Caenorhabditis elegans: one gene and its partners. The protein of the gene in region 1 purifies or fractionates together with the protein of each later gene. This does not show direct contact. Each region holds a gene or a part of one and is shown in the gene's direction. Other genes may lie near its edges. The genes, in order: egl-45, eif-1.A, clu-1 and lsm-4.

Region 1 (6,854 bases):
ACATTCGGATCTTGATGTGTCACGGCACTTTCTACAACAACAGTCGGTCGGTCACCAGTACTTGTCATTAATCGTTGCGAACTTCGAATTCCAGGCAATAACGGTACGGTCATCATCTCTGTAAATCGCCTGATATCTTCGACAGAATCAGGACCCATGTTTCGTAGTAAAGCAGCCATTTCAGCACCTATTTCGTCCTGTAAAGGCCTTCCTTGTGCTGCTGTTCGTGACACTCCTGCTCGATTTCCTCTTCTTGCTAACATTGGACGTCGCTGAACTGGGCGAGTAGTTATTGGTTCAGTTGAACGAAATAGGTTTTCCATTCTGTAACAATTTGTGATTTTTCAAAAATATTTAGAAATATTGGGAAATGTGAGTTTTTTGTATGCCTTACGTATGAAGATGAATCTCTGTCCAATGTACGCTCAAATTTTCAGTTTCTTTCGATTGAATGTGCTCCATCTCTGTGTTTCCAATACAAAGCGGGCATATCTGGACGTTAACAAATTAATGTTATTTAAAGGATATTATGTTTAGCATTTTCTCTTACCACACTGTAGCCCGGAGCCTCCGGATGTTGTGAAAGTACATGTGTCCCAAATTGCCGTTCGGTCAATCCTGTTATATTACAATACGGACAAGTGAAGGAAACAATTTTCCGTTCGTCATAATGTCGCGTAGGGTCGCCTTGGTATACGAGGTCTGTAAAGAATACTAATATTTGATAACATAATTTTTTAGGGGACGAAAATTATATATTTTTAATTTTTCTGAAATCCTCACTCTCACCATGTTTTTATAATAGATGTTTTAATTATGTTAAAACTATGAAACTTGTCATTTTATTTATTACAAAAAAAACTCAAAATGTTAATTTTTTTCGATAAAATTAAATTAAAGCTTTGAATTTTTTATAAAACCAAATGTTATGTGTAAATATTTATAATCCTACCAAAGTCCACAGAGCTCAAAATTAACTGCATTGGATGGGACTCGTCGTGTATTGGGATATCAGCTATTGTTTGCTGGTCTCCGTAGTTCTTTGTGGTAAAACAACTGAAGCAGAGATCGTAATCACTGCATCGTAGGCATTTGTAACGGTTTCCAGCAAACGCGGTGAAAGCACACCCATCACACGATACACCTGAATGAAGGGAGATATTAGTAATTCTTTTCAGATTCAATTACCCTCGTGTGTGCCAGTAAGAGGAGTCACCATCAATCGACTATGAAAGCTGAAAACGATTCAATTGTTTAAATGTATTGTAAAACAGCAAAAAATAAACCAGCCAGGAAAAATCGATTATATTAAGTGGATTTTCTCAGTGTGATTGTGGAATAAAATATTATAATTTTAATTTTAGGTGGAACTGGGAAAACTCAATTGATTTTAAACATTGATTTGAAGAAAAACTTTAAAAAATTAGCAAGAAAGGGTAAACATTGTGGATATCTGATGAAAATAACACTCGCGCTTTAAAGGCGCGTAGAGTTTTCTCCGCGTGCAGGTCTCGCCGCGAAAGCCTTTTTTCGTTCATTTTCCAACCGATCGGTCGGATTCTCAGCCATCTTTTGCGAATTTTTAGTGTTTTCCGCAATTTTTTGATGTTTCTGTTGTGAAATTATGATAGAAAACAATTTTCTATTCATGATAGTGCAAATTTTTCTCAAAAATGATGAAATTTATCGATTTCTCGTAAGAAAACATGTTATTCTATTGAAAACGAGTCAAAAAGTCTAGATTATTGAAGTACTATGTGCAAAGTTGAACTATTTTCATAGCTTCTACAGTAAATACATATTAAAGAAGTTTTTAATTTAGTGTAATAGCTAAATTGCTGGCGAACTGTTAAAAAGTGATCAATTAAAATGTGAATGTACAAATTAACATCGATCCAATTGAAATTCGGAACCGTTTTTGTGATCTTTTTTTAAAAATACATTTCGAATTTGGAATTACGCTCTATAAAAAAAATATTGATTCTTAATGTAAACTTCTTTTCATTTCGCAATTTTCAGGCTTCGTGTCTCAATTCAGCGGTAATCCGAGCACAACTATGGCTCCGAATTATTTTCAAAAGCCCGAAGCGGCATTGAAACGCGCCGAAGAACTCATTCAAGTTGGAAAAGAGTCCGATGCCCTTGACACGCTTCATGATACTATCAAGGTAGGCTTTAGAATGCTCCTAATTTGAAACTTTGAATTTTCAATTGTTGTAGGCCAGACGACACAAGCAATGGACAACTGTTCACGAACAAATCATGATTAAGCACATGGAATTGTGTGTAGATCTGAAGAAACAACACTTGGCAAAAGATGCTTTGTTTCAATACAAGGCTCTAACTCAACAGGTTATCTTTTTTTTAACGATTGCTTTTGCGAGTAGAAAATTATTATTCTGACTGACAGTAATGCAAATTATTCATGCTAATTAATTAATTTTCAGATCAATGTGAAATCTCTCGAAACAGTTGTGGTGCATTTTTTGAAACTCGCAGAGCAGCGTACTGAAGATGCTCAAAAACAATCGATCGAAAAAGTCGAAGAAATTGGAGATCTTGATCAAGGAGATGTTCCTGAACGCCTTCTTCTTGCTGTTGTTTCTGGAGCAGCTGCTCAAGATCGAATGGATCGTACTGTTCTTGCACCATGGCTCCGTTTTCTCTGGGATTCTTACAGAAATTGTCTGGAATTGTTGAGAAACAACGCCCAAGTTGAACAACTCTACCACACCATATCTCGCCACTCTTTCACTTTCTGTCTCAGATATCAACGTAGAACAGAGTTCCGAAAGCTGTGCGATCTCCTCCGTATGCATCTGAATCAGATACAAAAACACCAATATGCTCCAAATGTGTAAGTGATGACACTATTCAGTAAACGCTAATTAAAATATTTTCTGTTCTTTCAGAAACTCTTTCCGTGTGAAACTCACTTCTCCAGAATCTCTAGGTCTTATGCAAGACACCAGATTGATTCAATTGGATACTGCGATTCAGATGGAGCTCTGGCAAGAAGCTTACAAGTATGTTTTTCTTGTTTTTTTTTAAAGTTCATGTGCGAGGGATTATTTTTCCAGTGAATTGATTGTTTAATCAAATTTTATATGTTATTTTTTCAGAAGCGCAGAAGACGTTCACGGAATGATGCAGCTTTCAAAAGACAAAGACAAGAGAACGGTAAAACCTGCAAGCTATGTCAATTATTATGACAAACTTGCATTGGTGTTCTGGAAAGCAGGAAACAGTTTGTTCCACGCCGCCGCCCTTCTTCAAAAGTTCATCATTTACAAAGATATGAAGAAGTCTTTCACACAGGATGAAGCACAAGAACAGGCTACTAGAGTGCTTCTCGCTACTCTTTCCATCCCAGAAGGATCAGATTCGCCATCTGATTTGTCTCGCAACCTTGATATTGAGGATCAACATGTAGCCAACATGAGACTTCTCTCAAATTTGCTTCGTCTTCCAATTGCTCCAACTAAAAACGGAATTCTCAAGGAAGCCGCACGGATTGGAGTACCAGAAGCTGCTGGACAAACCGCCAAGGATCTGTACAAGCTTCTTGAGAGTAATTTCTCACCATTAAAAGTAGCTAAGGATGTTCAATCTGTTCTTGATACTGTCACTCGCCCTGACCATCTGCAATATGTTGAGTCTCTTCAAGCAGTTGCTGCTGTGAAGGCTTTGAAGCAAGTATCTGTCATCTACGAAGCTATCAGCTGGGAACGAATTCGAAAGATTATTCCATTTTACTCTGACTTGGCATTGGAGCGTCTCGTCGTTGAAGCAAGCAAACATAGAATTGTGAAAGCTCAATTGGATCATCGTGCTGATTGTGTTCGCTTTGGATCATCCGATGCGACATTGGCCGGAGGAGTCGATGAATGCGATAACAACGAAGGATTCACTGGAGATGATACTCAATTGGGAGTGGAAGGTGTTCGTAATCATCTTGAAGCAATGTATACACGTCTTCGTGGTCTCGTTGAAGGACTCGATGCCGAAAAACGACGCAAAGAGATTCTCAAAAAGATTGAAGGACAGGTCACTAGTTATGAAAAGAACCGACCAACTGAAATCGAGCGTATCCACCGTCGCAAGAAGATGTTGGAGAACTACAAAGAGAACTGGGAGCGTGTTAAGGCTGAAAAGACTGCTGCGGCTGCAACTGAACAAGCTAAACGTGAGGAAGCAGCTCGTGCTGAGGAGATGAAGAGATTGGATGAGCAGAACAAGGAGAGCGAACGGAAAAGAAAGCAAGCAGAACAGGATGAGATTCAGAAGAAGATTAAGCAAGATCAGCTCTACAAAATGCAGCAGAACGCCATCTACCAAGAAATTATCAAAGAAAAGGGTCTCGAGCAATTCAGAGACATGGATCCCGAGCAAGTGCTGCGTGAGCAGAGAGAACGATTGGATAAGGAGCGTGCCGAAACTCAACGTCGGTTGCAACAACAAGAGAAGAACTTTGACCATCATGTTCGCGCTCTTCACTTGGAAGAGTTGAACGAGCGTCGTGCAGTGATGAATATGCGACTCTCTGAAGCTCCAAAACTTCACGATTTATACGAAGAGGCTAGAATAGCCAAGGAAATGTAAGTTTTTTTTTTCAATTAATGTTAATTTTTTGAAATTCTACTAAAATTTTAGAAAACCGAAAGCGTCTATTTAAATTTTCTCTTAAGTTTTGCTTTTCCTGCAAGTTTGAGTTTGAGAAGGATTTTCGTCGTTCTTAGCATTATGAAATGCACAAAAGTTTTGCGATAAACACGATTTAGATCATATATTAATAATTTTGTTGTTTCATTTGGAAAATTAGAATTTTTCTATTTTTAACATTAGTGATTTCTTTCTTTTTTTTGATCTCTCATTGTAATAAAAAATAATATTCCAGTGCTGCTCATGACTCACACGTCAAACTATGGGGAATGTGGGATCAAGTGCGAGACGCTACTTTTGATTGGGTCGAGTCGGTGAAAATCGACAACCAGGAAACTCTTGAGAAGAAGTTGTCTGATTGGCAAGCGAAGCTCGAGGCAGTTCGTAATAATCGTCTTGCCGAACGTGCTGAGGATCGTAAGAAGAAGCGAAAGGAAGATGCTATTCAGGCGAAGATTGCCGAAGAACGTAAGAAACGCGAAGAAGAGGAGCGTGCCCGTCTCCAAGTTATCGAAGGACAACGTCGTCAACACAATGATGGTCGTGGTCGTAGAGAAATGGAGAATTCGGTTGCTATGCAAGACAATGATTGGAGACGTAACCCACCACGTGAGAGTTTGCCTCCAAGAGAAACGAGACCAATGCGTGATGGACCAACACGTGAACCTCGAGAATTCCGTGGAGATCGTGATCGTGAACCTAGAGAGCCATTCCGTGAGGTGCCATCTTCTAAAGCTGATACTGACAACTCTTGGAGAAGTTCTGCTCAACCAACTCGTAAACCTGACGATCGCCGCAGCGACGAGTTCCGGCGCAACGATGATGTCCGTCGCAACGACGATGTTCGCCGCAATGATCCACCCCGTCCAGCATCGAAGGCTGATACTGGGGATAAGTGGGAACGAGGAGTGAAGCCAGTCGTTTCTCCACCAAAGACCGATGCCCCATCAGGTAAGATTAGTTTTTATTGTTCAAACATTTGTCGCTACAAACCTAAAAAAATAATCATTTTTCAGTTTCTGAACCGAAATCGGAAGGACCCAAGAGGTTCGTGCCACCCCATCTTCGAAACAGACAAGGAGGTGGTGGAGCAGGTGGTTCCGAGGAACAATCCGCTCCTGCTAGATCTGGAAATTCCAATGTGACAAGCCCACCAGACCGGGCTCAAGGACTCCGAGGCCCACCACCAACTGGCCGCAACTCGTTGCCTCGTCGTGACGGACCACCACCACGGTCTAACAACACTGGAAACACGGGAAATGCCGATAGTGGAAGTTGGAGAAAATAAACACATGCTCAATTTGTGCTGATTCCATATCCAATTTTCAGAAATTACTCGAATGTCCTTAAAATTAGTATCCTGGTTGATTTTTCTGTCTTTTTTCCTGTTTTGGTTATCCTTCCCCCACTTTCTCTCTAATTATAAAATCACACGCATCTATAATCAATTGTTTCGTTAACTTTCTTGGTGTTGTTATTTAAATTTCCCCGAATCCCCTGTTGACCCTCATTGAGAATTCCTATATTCTCTTCACATCCATCTTTCCGTAAACCCCAATTGTTTGAGTATTTATGAGTAATGATATGAATAAAGACATATGTAGCTGACGACTTGAACGACTTAAACGAGTGGGCGTGTCGTCGTTTGTCCGAGAGCAACTTAGAAAGTGCCCGAGGCGCATCGAAACGAGCCACATTGGGGCACCTGTATGAGGGTGCTTTAGACGACGTAATGAGACACTGAGAGCACGCTGATTGTAGAGACGGAGACGTCATGAGTGGACAGAGAGGAGACGGGGGGTAATACAATAAAATAGGATAGATGGTATGGGGCAAGCAAGCAGTGGCCCCATACACTTCTGAAGGCACCAGTTGTATTCATGATTCACCTCTCCTGGATGTGCTTCCTGCTTTTACCTTCTTTCTAAGTAAAACCGTACCAATGGTTTGAACATATATATATAACACAATTTTGATATATTATAAGTTTTTATTACCCGCACGCAAAATTTTGTGATTTTTTCCCAAAAATACAGTCCCCGGTCTCGACACGACAATTTTTGTTAAATACAAACATGTGTGCGCCTTTAAAGATTACTGTAGATTGAAAGTTTCGCTGCTGTGGAATATTCATTGATTTTTGATAGTTTCTTTTCACGCTTCGTTAAAATGTATGTGTTATTAATGTTAAG
Region 2 (3,692 bases), on another chromosome or scaffold:
CACGTGATATTGCGGATGAATGCTCGAGGTGTTGCTCACGGTCGGGTTGCTGCAGTGATGAAGTCCCAGAAATGTTGAGATCTTCAACCTGACGTCTCTCTTCTTCCAGCTCTCGTTTTGCAATCATTTGAATTCTTCGTTTTCCAGCATTTTGTTGAGGTTCATTCTTCTGCATCCGTTTGAAAGCAGCCTGAGCAGCAATATCAGCGGCCGCGACACGATCAATTTGGCCTCCCTGGGCGGCTCCAGCGTGGGCAGAAGGCTGCGAAGATGACTCGCCGGATGACAAACGAACACCTTCACCGCTCTTTTTGAAGTGATTCTGGACTCGCTTTTTGTTGAGGAATTTCTTGAAACTATTCATTCTTCTTTCTCTGAAATAAATTGGAATGGTTATCAGTGCAGAACTTGTTAAATATCTTACTATTTTTTTCGTTGCTCTTATTTCTCGCTTTCTCAATGTTCTCTCTTATGATAAACTCCTGAATGATTGGTGAATATCGATTCCACGCAATGATAGTGCCAACAGAGAAGATGAAAAGTAGAATAGAAAGAAAGAGTCCGAGAGCTACCTGAAATTTTCAAATTTTGGCCATTTTAGACAGAAACAAGAACAATAATTCACGTTAAAATTTCGAAAATCTCAAAAACATGTTCTCTAACGCACTTGTTTTTTATCCAACGAATAATTATCACAGAAGATAATCAAAGCACGATAAACGTTTTCTACTCCGAATGCTTCTGAGGAATCTGGAAGCGCGTCGGAGCTCTGATAAGCAACTGAATTTGTGCTCAACGGAGTCTGCTCAGTTGTCGGCTCGGCGACCAGAGGCTCTCCCATGCAAGAATAGCTGGAATTGTAGTTCTTTTTCAGAGAGATTTGCGGAAATTAATGATTGCGAAATAGGACAGAAGGCGATGACGACATTTGTGATATTGCACGGTGATAAACATATATTTTGGGTTGTATACAAACTTCAAACTTCATTTCAGAAAATTTGAAAAAAAGCTCATCTCGAAAACGCTATAAAAAACTTGGAGTTTTTCTATTGGAGAAAACTAAACTGGGGAAAGCTTTCGGACAGAAAAATATTATCTGCTGTATTTTTCATGATGTCGTTAATTTTGTGACTTAATAAACTACAAAAAAATGTAGGTAAAACACTTTTGCGTGAAAAGTTTGTGATTGTTTTCCCAAAATACGTTTTTGCGGTTAAATGTTCGTTTTGAGATGTTTATCTTACAATTCTTTTATATTTTGGACAATAATTATATTCTATGAAGTAATCTTTGATTCTGAATAACTTTTTTCCGAAAACAATTCGTTAAAACAACAAAATTTTAGAGAGAAAAATAAAAAATAAGCAAAATAAAAAATAAAAATAGCGAGTGTCGTAAATTGTGTCGCCAAGTCCGCAGTTACGTAACCTCGCGCCGCGCTCTTGCGATAGCAAACCCCGCCCACTTTTCTGTGCACTCCACATTTTCGTCGATTTTTCATTGAAATTTTTCTTCTGTTATTTTGTTTATTTTTGTCGATTGACGACATAATTTTAATCTCAAGCGCTGATAAAATTATTATTTCCAATTTTTAGAAATCACTTTTCATCAAAATACTCACGAAATCCAAGCAAACTGTTTATTTTGGGATAGTATACTCATTCTTCTTAATTTTTTGTTAAATTCCATTGAAATCTGACATTACCTTATGCATATTTATGTTCTTGTTTTTTCTACAATTTTTGCAGTCCTCTTTGCTTCTGTATTTCTCGTAACTTCAACTTTCCAAATTATTTCGTAATATTTTCAGCAATGCCGAAGAATAAGGGAAAGGGAGGAAAGAATCGCAGAAGAGGAAAGAATGAGAACGACTTCATGAAGCGCGAGCTCGACCTCAAGGAGGAGGGACAAGGTAGATTTTATAACTTCTTTCCCGAAAAACAAAAGCATTAATTCCAGAATATGGACAAGTCTCAAAAATGCTTGGTAACGGTCGTGTTCAAGTGTTCTGTTTTGATGGAAAGCAGCGTGTCTGCCATATTCGTGGAAAGTTGAGGAAGAAGGTTTGGATCAACGTGGGAGATATCATTCTCGTCGGTCTCCGAGATTATCAAGACGACAAGGGAGATGTTATTCTGAAGTACACCCCAGATGAAGCTCGCCGTTTGAAGAACGAGGGACTTATCCCAGAAAACGCCAAGCTCAATGAGAACGATGAACAAGACGAGGGAGAGGTTGAGTTCTGTAAGTTTATTTTTGCTGAAAATTAATGAAGTTCAATTTTTTTTCAGTGGATCACGTCGGAGACGAGGGAGAGGCCGGAGAAGCAAAGTCTGACTCAGATTCATCAGACAGTGATTCGGAGAAGTCTGACGAAGAGGCAGGATCGGATAAGGAAGAAGAATCGGACGATGATTCTGAAGAGGAATCAGACGAAGATTCAGATGATTCGGACAATATTCGGGAAGAGGACTTGGCAGCTGGTCGTGGATTTAAAGAGGACACTCGTCGCGGCGGAAATCGTGGTGGCAAGAACAAGTACGGAAAGAGACGCTAAATTGATTAAATTATTGGTTTTTAATTGTTTCCCCCGGTTTCTGTTCTTTCTCCCCCTAAAAATCCATTGTTTCTCTTTCGATCCTTTTCAGACATTATCTTCCCATCTTCTCTGTCTCCCGAAATTCCGTTACTTGAATGCTACAAAGTGAAATAATTCGATTGTGGTGTCCGATGATCAACACAACCTCAAGGTTTCGGTCCATCGGACACCACTTGATGAAACAACTCATTTATTGCAAATTATCCCGTATTCCACTATTTTCCTTTCATTTATATTGTTTTCTGATAAACTTTTCTTGTTATGGGTTTAAAGCAGCACACAACTCTCGACCTTCAAACCGAAAAGCAGGTGAAACATTTGCATCAAAATGTCACAACTCGCGGCCACGTGTATTCATATAGTAAAAATTATTTATTTCAGTTATTTTAAGCTGAATTTGAATGAAATGATTGACAGAGTGCTTCTTTATAACTTATCAACTTCTGCATTTCCCAGCTATGATAATGCGACTAGAATTGATTTATATTTCTTTCTTATAGCTGTTGAGCAAGTTTTAGCTTTGAAAATCCCGTAATATTACCGTCAAATTCCAGAAAGTTTGTCCATCCATCAATAATCATTAATATTGTAATTTCATCAATTGGGATTTTTACAACATCATTCCATTTATTCGTTTTATCTCGAAATTCAATGTTAAAATCGTCCGTAATCTTGATAATGATAGGAATCGCTATTTGTGATATATTAGTGATGTTTGTCTCTATTATTTATAACTATCTTTATTTGATTTTGGAATTTAATGTGAAACCCTGGTAAAGTACATTTATTCAAAAGCTTAGTTCCACAGTACTACTACAGTAACCCAACGTAGTAAAAGATCTATGTGGTTAAATCGTAGTTAAAGAGATCACGTAGTAAACAGTACTTGACTTTTGTAACCCGATGTTAAATCAACTCATCTTTCCACTTCCAGTGAACCACCTGCACCACTTTCATTCTTTTATATGTACTGGATCAATGTAGTAATTAATGATTTGTTCCGTCGAACATCCACGTGGCTCAGCGTAGTTATGGCCACAATCAGACTGATCGTCTTGAAGTTTTCAACGAGAAGAGCATTTCGAAAAGTTAA
Region 3 (7,481 bases), 1.7 Mb from region 1:
CAGGTATGATGTGTACGTTTCATCTCCACCATTAACACCGCCAGATTGGAATGTAAAATTAGCAAAGTACGACGAACCAATTCGCTCTATTTTCTACGAGGAAGATGTTCTCAGAGCGTAAGTTTTGGTTATTTCAGGCGCTGACTATTTAAATTGTTTTCTCTATTCAGAAAGTTCTACAAGACATACAGAAGTACGGCTGGTATTCAAGTGGATAGCTCAAGAACAAGCGTCTCTCAGCAGTTCATCAACGAATATAAACTAGTCAAATCAGAAAATGCAGAGGCAACAGATGATCAGTTGTTCGAGATGACACAAAAACGTCTCAACGAGAATGGAATCGTTTTGAAATAAATGCTAAGTTATAGTTTGTAGTTGTTCATAAATTTGTTTTTCGTTTCAACTTACTCTTTCTTCTTTTCCTCTTTGAACTTTCCAAGCGTTAAATAATTGTTTCTTTTCTGAGACTTTGTTCAGAATTCTGAAACGAGGATCATTCTGGATCCATTTTACAGCCTGATCCCAATTGCAATTCGTTGTTATCTTTCCGTCATTATATTTGTCACGGAGCAGTTCACGGAATCGTTCTGACTGCCGTTTCTTCAATTCAACTTCATCGTTCACAGATTCTTCTTCTTTCTTTTCAGACGGAAGAGGTACATTTGGCATTGATGCGAGGGTAGCCTTCATGGCTTTGTCTAGATCGGATTCCGCCTTCTTTTGCTGAACAGCCGCTGCCAATGCGACAGTGTCCACAGTTGCAGCCTTTGCTGCTGGCTTCTGTTCTCCTTCTGAAATAAATAATTCAAATTGAAAGATTCTCTAGATAAAATCTTACTTGTAATTTCCTCTCCATCTGGTTTAACCCATTGCGTTTTCTTTGTAAGGGTATTATAATAATATGGTTTTCCGTCATCACTCATGAATTCTTTCCATTGACCTTGTTGTGGCTGTCCGCTAGTACTTCTCTGAAATCAGACTTCAAGAGCGCTGTAAACTATATTTTTCACTTACCTCGAGTGGAGTTTTTAAGACGTCTGGTTTTATCCATGACGTTTGTTTCGTTACACGATTATGATAATAAGGTGTACCCTTTTCATTCGTATGCACACTCCAATCAGATTCGACAGATGGGGATGAGTGGGATTCGTCTATGCCCATTCCAGGAGGTACCAGCATTGGTGAAGGCCTCGTCGGAGCTGCAACGTGCGGAGCAACTACAGAGTGGGTGGGCATTTGGAGGAGCGGAACTTGAGCGATAGATCCAACTGGTGGCATGCCAACTGAAAATGTTTGCATTAATATTAAATTATTTTATTAATTAATTGGCCAATTTTACAAATTTATGAAAAACTTGCATCTTTGGTTCAGGAGAACTTGTTGAATGTTAGCAGCCGCTACTAAATTGGGATTAAGAAATGAAAATCCATTGGGAAGCATTCTGAAAATTACTTGATTAAAAAGTGAAAACGAAAGAAACACCAAGGAAAATGTAGCATAAACAAAATTTGTGGAAAAATCGAAGAAAACTGAAACGCTGCGTGCCCCCTTTCGATGCAATCTATCGTCGGAAAATACGGTGGGGCGCACTTGCTTGCACCAGAAAAGCGCAATGAACGAGGATCGCGCCAACGTGATGATTGACGCATTCCTGGAGCAAAATTTTTACAATACACTTTGTTCCCAATTTCTCGTTTCCTATTGCATCAGATGTTTTTAATTTTTGATTCAGTGTCGGAAAATTAGAAAATGAGTATAAAAATAGGTGTTAATGATATTGCTTTCTGATATTTGTTCTCTGCTGCGCTCGTAAGTGCGATAGCATAGGATTTTTGTATATAATATCCTTTCCTTCTCCAAATCTGTAGTTTTTTTTAGTTCTTCTGCAACTTTCTCGGTACAAGTCTTCATGGCTGTTCCATTATCTATCCATTCGTTAATTGTGCTGTGCTCGCACAATTTTTCGAATTCCATGATTTGCGTCATAAATCCTTCATCGTTTAATATTTCGCTAATATAATTATGAAGATGAACTGATATTTAAATATTTTACAGATGACTTTGGGTTCCGAAACGAAAACTGATGTCGAAGTGCCGATCATCAATGGGAAGCACGAAATTCCTCAAGAGGAAAACGACTCAGGTCACTCGTCGATAAACACTCCAGACTCATCAGAACCAGGTGAGAAAAATCTAAAATTAGTTTTTTTTTATCCTTGAGTTTCAGATAAGCAAGTCGACAAGTTCGTGAAGATCACTATTCAACCATCTTGTGGAGACGCTTTCGAGCTACATGTCAGTTTTTTCTTTCCTGATTTTAGAATCCAGACATTTTTTCAGCTCAGCGACAATGAGTTGGTTCAAGAACTATACCAGACGCTGCTAGACCGTGAAGCTACTTGTCATAGAACTTGTTTCTCCTTGTATTTGAACGGAACAGCCGTAGACAACTACTCTGAAGTCCGTGCTATTCCGGGATTCGTTGATGGGTGCACCTTGAACGTGGTCGATGAGCCATACACCATTCGTGATGCTCGTCTCCACCTCCGCCAAGTCCGTGAATTACTCAAATTTGGACTTACTGAAGATCAGCACGAGCCCCCGTGTACCAATGATGCTCAATCATATTTGACAACAATCAATTTGCAACCAGAAGAAAAGAAAGAACCAAAACCTTCCGATATTCTTCCACCAGATCATGCTCTTCCAGGATGCAAAGAACGCTCCCTTGCTCATCTGCTTGTTCCACAACCAAAAGAGCTCATTGCCCTTAAAGATATCGCATTCTCTCCGTACAACCCTCCACCAGGACCTCGAAAGCTCAGAGGAGATGTCTTGTACATCGACATCACAACAGTTGAAAATCGCATCTACCATGTCACCTGTTGCACTAGAGGTTTTTATGTGAACAACTCACAAGATGGACGGTTCGATCCGACAGTATCGAATTCCAATAAGACTGTCTACCAAAGCGTCATTGAACTACTTCAAAATGTCAGTCCAGGATTCAAGAAAGTATATCCTCAAATTTTGAAGCGGCGTCAAGAAAAGACACTCGTTGAGCGACTTCCAACCAGTTACCCAGTTTCTTCATGGGTTGGAAATCCATTGAAAACTGATGGGTACATGAGTGACTCATTGAGAGCCATTGAATTGACAGAGCCGTTCCGGGTTGGATTTGAAGATCATATGCCAGGACTCCTTCGTGATTGGAATGAAGAGCTTCAGACTACTTTCGAGATGACCCGTAAATCCATTTCTGAGCGAGTAATCCGTGATCGAAGTTATTACAAAATTCATGCTGATTACGTAAATGCTGCTGCGAGAGGTGTTCAATCTATTCTTGATGGAAATATATTGGCTATAAACCCAGGAGAGGACAAGAAAACTCATATGTACATTTGGAACAATATCTTCTTCAGTCTCGGATTTGACGTCAGAGATCATTATAAGGAGCTTGGAGGAGACGCTGCTGCTTTTGCTGCTACATCGACCGATCTTCAAGGAGTGCGGGCATTTGCAACTCTTGATGATCCAAAACTCAACACTCTAGGAATGGCAATTTTCGATTATCGAGGATATCGTGTGACTGCACAATCCATCATACCAGGAATTTTGGAACGCGAGCAAGAACAATCTGTTGTGTATGGATCGATAGACTTTGGAAAAACTGTCGTCTCTGATGAAAAGTATCACGAACTGCTCGAGGATGCTGCTCACAAACTGAAAATGCTGCCTCACACCGTTATCAGCGAGAAAGACGGAGTTAAGGAAGAGTTGAAGCTTTATACAAGCTACGAAGCTAAGGGAATAATTGGAAACGATGGTAGAAAATACGTTTTGGACCTTCTTCGTTCAATGCCTCCAGATGTTCATTATCTCGATGACGCAGAGGTCTCTGAGGCCGCTAAAACACTGGGATATCCACGAAAATTCCCGCACAAGCTTTCGGCTCTCCGCCGTGAACTAATTGATGCGTTCTGTGAGTCTAGATTGGTCACTTTCATCCAGTTAACTGCAAAGAAGATCCGTGATCTGATTACCGAGTCAAAAGAGAAAAATGATGAAACTTTGATTAAGCAAGCAGGTAATCATTTCGTACAAAACTTTTCTTAATCAAATTATTTTTATTTTTCAGCCGAAGCAGAAACTGAACTATCACTACTCTTTATGGCCATCAGCGAAGATAAGGAGTTTGAAGCCAAAAACAAAGTCGTTCAAGATGCTATCAAGGAAGCTTGTGCAGTTGTTCATTCTATTTATGAAGATCGCTATGTTATGAAGTTCAATCCGGATTGTTTCTCATCAAATGTCAAACATGCACCAACAGAGAACCTTGAACGACAACGCCGTGTTGTTGTGGATGCCGCAGATTTCCTCCTTACCCAGAAGATTCCAGAGCTTGTTCAGAACTTGAAAGATTGCGTTGTGCAACCAATTGATGGAGATAATCTTGCTGACATTATGCACATCAATGGTATCAATATTCGCTATTTAGGAGAAATTGGAAAACGTCTTGAAAACAGCGTCTCATTTGCTCGTCCACTTGTTCTTTCGGATATCGTTGCTAGATCTGCAAAGCATGTCATCCGCAAGATCAATGTTCAAATTACTGCTGATCAACTCTCCGCAAGTACATCTCACATTCTCAACTGCCTATTCTCTGTAGTTTTGGATCCAAGCCCTATTGCTGCGAACGTTGCGAAGAAAGCCAATAAGAAGAACGGCAAGAAACGAGTTACATCTGCCTGGTCTTCGTTAACCACATCAGCACTTTGGAATAGTATCCGTGAAGATTCTGCCAGCTATTATGGATACCCGATTGAGGCCGACTCCCTTGAAAAGTTCACCGAATTGCATGATATCCAAAAAACTGCTCTTTTCCGCCGCATTTGCAAAGTCATGGGAGTTCAGCTCGTAGCAAGAGATTACCAATTGGATAACTCTACTGCAAAGAAAACATCAATTTTCGTTGAAGATGACATCATCAACTTCTTCCCAATCATCAAGCATCATGAACCATTCACTGCTGATGCTAAGAAAATGTTCATTCGTGGACAACAAGCGATGTCTATTGGTGCCTCCCGAGAAGCTTACGAGTGTATTGGCGAATCACTAAATCTCATGACACTTGTCTATGGTGTAATGCATCCAGATATGCCACAATGTTTGAGAGCTCTTGCAAGATTGTCCCACGTTCTTGGAGAAACTGGAGATGTAAGTGTCTTATCATTAGTTATTTTGGTTTTTAAAACAATTTAGCCGCATGAACACTGAATACATTGGAAATTGTAATATATAAAACCAATGCCGTATAATTTTCAGGCTTTGAACAACCAGCATAAGGCAGCGGTCATGAGCGAACGGTTGATTGGATTGGATGCAGGAAATACCATTATTGAATATGTAAGTACTATTAATAAAAAATCATCTGCATTAAATATGTTTTATCATCTTTGTTTTTCGATAAACTTGAAGAACAATGAGAACAAAATAAAGGGAATTTTTCTGCAATGACATTGAACATTTTTCAGATCAATTTGGCCCATTTCGCATTTGGAGCACTTCTCATTCCTGGATCTCTTCGTCCATTGTACCGTGCGAGATATCTCATGAATCTCGTATTTGGAGAGAAACATCCTGTAATGGCTCAAATTGATGCCAACATTGGACTCATTTTGTTCACTGTTCAAGAGTTCGACACAGCTTTGAAGTACTTGCAATCGGCTGATGCTATCACAAAAACTATTGGAGAACCGAGAAAGCTGAAGACTGGATTGATTTCCAATTTGATTGCCCGAACACATGCGGCTCGTGGAGATTTCCGAGCTGCTCTAGTTGCTGAAAAGGAAACATTCGCTATTTATTCCGAACTCTATGGACCAAATCACCCAAGAGTCAACGAATCGAGTGAATATCTTCGCACGCTTACTCAACAAGCTGTTACATTCCAAAAGAAAATGTTGAAACTTGACAATAGTACAAACATTACTGAATTGTTCCAGGTAATATTAAATTTTCACAATAGCAAAAAAATCGCAATATTTTTATAGGCTCAACCTCCAACAGTTACCTCTCTATTTGATACCTTAAACATCATCAACGGAATACTGATCATTGGTGTTCCTGGATTGTCTTCTCTCGGAAAACAGCAAAATGGGACGACTGAAGAGAGCAAGACTACAGATGTTGCTGCTCAGCTTGACAATGAGACTCTCGATTAGAATTGATTAGATATCACCCAATTTTTTGGAAGTTGTTTATCAAATTTCAAAAAATTTAGAATTACTTGTTCGTTGATTATTTTAGTTTTTAATAGTGTATAGCATATAGATCAGTTTTTGTTTCTTTTTGTTTTGTTTTTTTAGGTGTAGATATCAGTTTAGTAAATAACTTTTTTTTTGTTAGAAAACCGTGACCGCATTTTCGTTGCTTTTTTGAAATAATTATATGAGATAATTGCACCGTTTCTTTCTCTGATAACCAAAAACATTTGCTCAATTCCAAAAATCAGCCTGAAATTTTCAAATTTGCTCAGGAGCATTTCCCTCATTTCCCACAACTTAATCAATCACATGTTCCCGTTTTCATTGTCTTCTCCATCTATCTGTAACCCATTTCCTTCATACATGTTATGACTGTCGTTCTGACACGAGTGTCCATCGAAAAACTAATCATTTAAAAAATATACATCTCTGATAATCCGAGTACACTCCATCTTTTGTTACACTGATGCGTTTGTTCTCCTCGTTACCTGTTTTTTTGCCTTAGGATTCAAAGCCTTGTAGTTTAGTATGAATTTTCGTTTTTTTTTAAATTTTCCAATCAACTGTTATAAAATGTTTATTGTTTTGTTCTTTCTCCAATAATAAAATCTGAAAATCTATTTTTTGTTTCAGTTCTAAAATTTTCAGAAAACTTAAAGTTTCATTCTTTAAATATTTTGAAATATCTTGTGAACAAAAATATGAATTTGTTAATCAAGAGTATCGCTTTTTCCAATTTGTCAGAAAAAAAATATATAACTTCCATTATTTAAGAAAAAAAGTTGCAAAAACTGAAAATTGTGTCCATTTTATTTTTTTAGCAGTAGAAAATTATATTTTCTTGTTTTTGCATTTTTTTTGTTAAATGTTTTAAACCATAAAAAATTTTATCCGATTTTGTTCATGTTGATGAACAAAAAAATTATAAAAATGTAATTGTCCTCTAAAAATGAGAGACTTTAAAGCTTTTTCTCTCTTATAATTAAATTTGTTTTTCATAGAATGGCGAGTGATTGGAGACGACAATCAACGAGTAGAGGAATTCCGAATGAGGGACAAAATGATGAAAAAGGAAAACCGCTCATTGTGAGAGAATATTTAAAGTAAAAAAAACAAAATTATGAATTTCAGGGAAGATCATTTCTGCTCGAAATTGAAAATCGTATTCTACGAACAAACGTGGCAGAAGGATTACATATTTCTGGTGCTACAATA
Region 4 (3,571 bases), on another chromosome or scaffold:
AATGGATGCTCGTAGGCTACGATACTCGTCTCTAGTCAGGAATTGTTGAGTCATTGCCAATAGCTTCTCCTTTTCAGTACGTGAATCCATTATCTCCTGCTGGCTCACTGGACGTTTGGCTGCTGCGTAGCATGCTTCTTGGTAGAATTTCATGAATTCATTTATCTTGTCATGTTCAAGCACAGTATTTCGTTTAGCCTTCCGAATTCCGAGTAGACGAACGTAATGTCTCAAACGGGCGAACTTAATATCATTTTCCATATCGAGTCTCTGATCTTTCTGAGGTTCCGTAGCAGATATTGTGAGGCGACTGATAAGTTGTTCAGCTTCATTGAACCATTCACACTCCAATTCTTCACGTTCGTTATTGTATCCAAGAATTTTCAACTCATCACTTCTTCTCATTTTTGGACGAGTTTCCGACTTTGATACACCACTTTCATGAAGTAGACGAGGATATGCACTTCTGAGCTCTTTAACTTCTTCTAAAGAACAAATTGCGCCGAGAGTTTCTAACTTTTTTTCTCCTTGTTTCTGCTCACGGTTCATCTTTTTACGGAATTCATGCAATCTTCTATCTTTTTTCGAAACCCACATCCTCCTTCGCTTTCGTCTCTTTGAGCTCGAAGCTGTTCCTCTCTTTGGTTTTTTCTCTTCTTCTTCATCTTCTGTATCAAATTCCTGTGCAGTCTCAAAAGCGCTTGGAGGATCTTCTTCTTCTGTTTCGCGTTCCATGCCGTGGTAGGTGTCTTTATCAGAAGCTTGACTTTTCTGGAAAAAATACACATAAAACTGAATTTAGTTATTTTCCTTAAACTCACATCATCGTCCGAATCACTGCTTGATTCTCTCATAACTCGAGTAGTTTTTCTTCTCTTTGGACTCGGAGGCCCCTTTTTCCGACAACTGGAAGACGGGCCCGGCGAATTGTCATTATCACTATCATCAGTATTTATTTCCTGTTTTACTGATCGCTTCGATTTCATATCTCTTTCATTATCAGGATCACAGTCATCTGGGCTAAGCTCCGTCTCATATTGATTTGTAAGGAATTTTGGGCGCTCATACTTGGTTTCAATGTCACCATCGATTACTCTGAAGAAATTCTAAATATATGAAAAATAGGACATTTTCACTTACTTTTGCACATACTGCTCTAATACTTGTTGCACTTTTATCGCAAGTTTCGGATCGTTTTCATCCCAGCTTTCTCCAGATGCACGAACGGCGTCTCGAATCAGAAGCATTCTTTCCGTTGATTCCAAACAGTTTTTTTGTAGCACACTGTCTAATGTTTGATTTATATACATCCCATATTTAATTCGATCCCAACTTGAACTTTTTATGGAAAATTGTCCAATCCATCCACGCACGAAATGTTTTTCAAAGTAATCCTTGCAATTATGACCATCTTTTCTTCCGCGACCAATACTTTCAGCTATTTCTCCCCAATTTCCCATCTTGAATTTATGAGCAGCTTTTAACAATTCGAATTCATCTTCGTGTGTCCAGCTCATTGCTTCGGGATTACTTGTTGGCTTGACAAGCTCGTAATTGTGACCTCGGCGATGTGGTGGTGATTCCGCGCCGCATTGGAAACACTGAAATTTTAAAAATAAAATAATGTTCTTAAAAACTTCACAATCTGTCAACTCACGAGGATACAAATTCGCAGAGGACATTCAAAGCATTTGACATGAATGGTTTGGTCGACTCGTAATGTGCAGTTGAAGCATACCGGATGTTCTCCGGTATCATCAGCCATTGAACCTATAAATATTAAAATTCCTCAAATCATGTTTTAAAATAAAACTAATAATCTTGAGATGAAAACAAAGAAAAATCGATTGCAGAGGTGAACCCTGTTTTCAAATGATCATCCACCAACGACCCTCCGAAATGACGCATGGTCGCCTTGTTTAACGTAAATATTGTGTGCATTAAAATCTTTTTTTATCGGAATTTTTTGTTTCGAATTGTCTTTTCGCCGTAATTTCAGTTTAAAATCTTAATTTATTCTTTGCAGATTGTCTCACTTTAAGTTTTACTAGTGAAAAACAATCACAACCCCACTAAATCAATATAGTCATGGTGGTAAGTCGAATTAAGCTGAACTCAAATAGTGTATGATTTCAGTTGCCACTTTCTCTTCTCAAAACCGCTCAAAACCACCCGATGCTTGTGGAGTTGAAGAACGGCGAGACTTATAACGGTCACCTGAAAGCCTGCGATTCGTGGATGAATATTCATTTGGTGGATGTTATTTTCACATCAAAAGTAAGTGTTTCGTTTAATTAAATGGTTAGCCCAGGAGAAACTGGCTATTCAGAAATTTCTTTTCGTTATTATTGAAAAAAAACATAATTTTGTTTTAAACGGCTCACAGATTCTAATTTAGAAAGAACCTTTCATATTTAATTTGCATTCATATGTCAGCTCAATATTTCAAACATCTAAAACTCTCGGATTGATGCAAATTTGCGACTAACAATACATGTTAAATTACAGGACGGTGACAAGTTCTTCAAAATGTCAGAAGCGTATGTCCGGGGATCTACTATCAAGTATCTCAGAATTCCAGAAACAGTAAGTACCTGATTTTCTCTTCGACAACATAACATTTCCCATTCTTCCAGGTGGTCGATCTCGTGAAAACTGAAGTCAACGAAGTTCGTCGTCAACAGCAGCGCGAGCAATCCCGTGGTCGTGGTGGTGGACGAGGAGGACGTGGAGGACACCGCGGAGGTGGTGGAAACCGAGGCGGACGCGGAGGAGCTCGATAATTCCTGCAGTGCTTCGATTGCTGATAACAATTTCTCGTTTACTCTAAATAATTTATGTATTTGAAATTATTTTTTTACCCAAAAACCAAACCTTCCTCCGTCTCTTCTGATCTTCCCCAAGTCGGGTTGTTTCACATGTTTTGAAATTTTATTACAATAAATTGAATTATACTTCAACAATATCTTAAGATCTTTCATCTGTCCTCCCACTCTTTTACTAGACTACAATGTAGTCTAGTATGGGACGTTGTCCTTATCAACCGCCCGCTGCAGTCATTGATTGTAGTCCACAATGTGACTAACGGCAATTTCATAGTTGCCATTTCTTTTATTTTTTCTTGAATTTAATCCATTTTTCAAAATCGAATAACGACATTCCATTTATTATTACAGATAAATTATAATGTCCGCACCTCCAACAAATCAACCACCTCCGCTGCCGCCAAGGTCATTTGATGTAATTATTGATAAATTGTTTTGAAACTCCTACTAATCGATAATATTTAAGAATCAAATGTCGAATCCAATGATCAATACAGGTTTTGGTTATGGTGGAGGATATGGAATGAATACGTTTCCAGGGTCTGGAATGTAAGTTTTATTTTTTAAATATTTTTTTTTTTTTTGAATGCTCTTTCGTAAATGCTAAAATGTCTGCGCCTTTAAAGAGTACTGTAGTTTCAAACTTTCGTCGCTGCCTTATTTTCATGGATTTTTCGTAGTTTTTCCGATAAATTAATTTTAAATTCAAGTATACTAATAAAAAAGAGAGAAGAAGCATGAAAAAA

Evidence for each region.
Region 2: the proteins of egl-45 (region 1) and eif-1.A fractionate together in Caenorhabditis elegans (co-fractionation; one large-scale study listed by BioGRID). This does not show direct contact.
Region 3: the proteins of egl-45 (region 1) and clu-1 fractionate together in Caenorhabditis elegans (co-fractionation; one large-scale study listed by BioGRID). This does not show direct contact.
Region 4: the proteins of egl-45 (region 1) and lsm-4 fractionate together in Caenorhabditis elegans (co-fractionation; one large-scale study listed by BioGRID). This does not show direct contact.

What each region holds. Positions count from the first base shown.
Region 1 is NC_003281.10:7,823,792-7,830,645, reverse strand, and holds egl-45 (Eukaryotic translation initiation factor 3 subunit A), read left to right. Parts: upstream 1-2,019; 5' UTR 2,020-2,057; coding exon 2,058-2,168; intron 2,169-2,220; coding exon 2,221-2,352; intron 2,353-2,447; coding exon 2,448-2,857; intron 2,858-2,912; coding exon 2,913-3,026; intron 3,027-3,122; coding exon 3,123-4,598; intron 4,599-4,897; coding exon 4,898-5,613; intron 5,614-5,678; coding exon 5,679-5,950; 3' UTR 5,951-6,269; downstream 6,270-6,854. Other genes in the region: E3 ubiquitin-protein ligase kcmf-1, read right to left, coding at 1-118, 188-324, 395-492, 551-702, 953-1,144, 1,189-1,219.
Region 2 is NC_003282.8:4,809,124-4,812,815, forward strand, and holds eif-1.A (Eukaryotic translation initiation factor 4C), read left to right. Parts: upstream 1-1,810; 5' UTR 1,811-1,812; coding exon 1,813-1,912; intron 1,913-1,959; coding exon 1,960-2,244; intron 2,245-2,291; coding exon 2,292-2,557; 3' UTR 2,558-2,860; downstream 2,861-3,692. Other genes in the region: ubxn-6 (UBX domain-containing protein 6), read right to left, coding at 1-364; H06H21.37 (uncharacterized protein), read right to left, coding at 361-374, 425-572, 668-841; srw-95 (G-protein coupled receptors family 1 profile domain-containing protein), read left to right, coding at 3,006-3,106, 3,154-3,372, 3,534-3,692.
Region 3 is NC_003281.10:9,516,035-9,523,515, reverse strand, and holds clu-1 (Clustered mitochondria protein homolog), read left to right. Parts: upstream 1-2,055; coding exon 2,056-2,182; intron 2,183-2,227; coding exon 2,228-2,295; intron 2,296-2,340; coding exon 2,341-4,087; intron 4,088-4,138; coding exon 4,139-5,217; intron 5,218-5,325; coding exon 5,326-5,406; intron 5,407-5,534; coding exon 5,535-6,005; intron 6,006-6,053; coding exon 6,054-6,224; 3' UTR 6,225-6,885; downstream 6,886-7,481. Other genes in the region: mrps-23 (Small ribosomal subunit protein mS23), read left to right, coding at 4-117, 171-354; prp-40 (WW domain-containing protein ZK1098.1), read right to left, coding at 409-791, 839-968, 1,015-1,283, 1,359-1,440; F55H2.7 (uncharacterized protein), read left to right, coding at 7,269-7,352, 7,398-7,481. UniProt on the Caenorhabditis elegans protein: mRNA-binding protein involved in proper cytoplasmic distribution of mitochondria.
Region 4 is NC_003280.10:7,251,619-7,255,189, reverse strand, and holds lsm-4 (putative U6 snRNA-associated Sm-like protein LSm4), read left to right. Parts: upstream 1-2,026; 5' UTR 2,027-2,088; coding exon 2,089-2,094; intron 2,095-2,136; coding exon 2,137-2,277; intron 2,278-2,508; coding exon 2,509-2,586; intron 2,587-2,594; coding exon of another isoform or gene 2,595-2,628; exon of another isoform or gene 2,629-2,636; coding exon 2,637-2,783; 3' UTR 2,784-2,958; downstream 2,959-3,571. Other genes in the region: ada-2 (SANT domain-containing protein), read right to left, coding at 1-485, 543-771, 822-1,095, 1,141-1,601, 1,658-1,770, 2,595-2,628; prx-13 (Peroxisomal membrane protein PEX13), read left to right, coding at 3,187-3,240, 3,292-3,374. UniProt on the Caenorhabditis elegans protein: Plays a role in pre-mRNA splicing as component of the U4/U6-U5 tri-snRNP complex that is involved in spliceosome assembly, and as component of the precatalytic spliceosome (spliceosome B complex).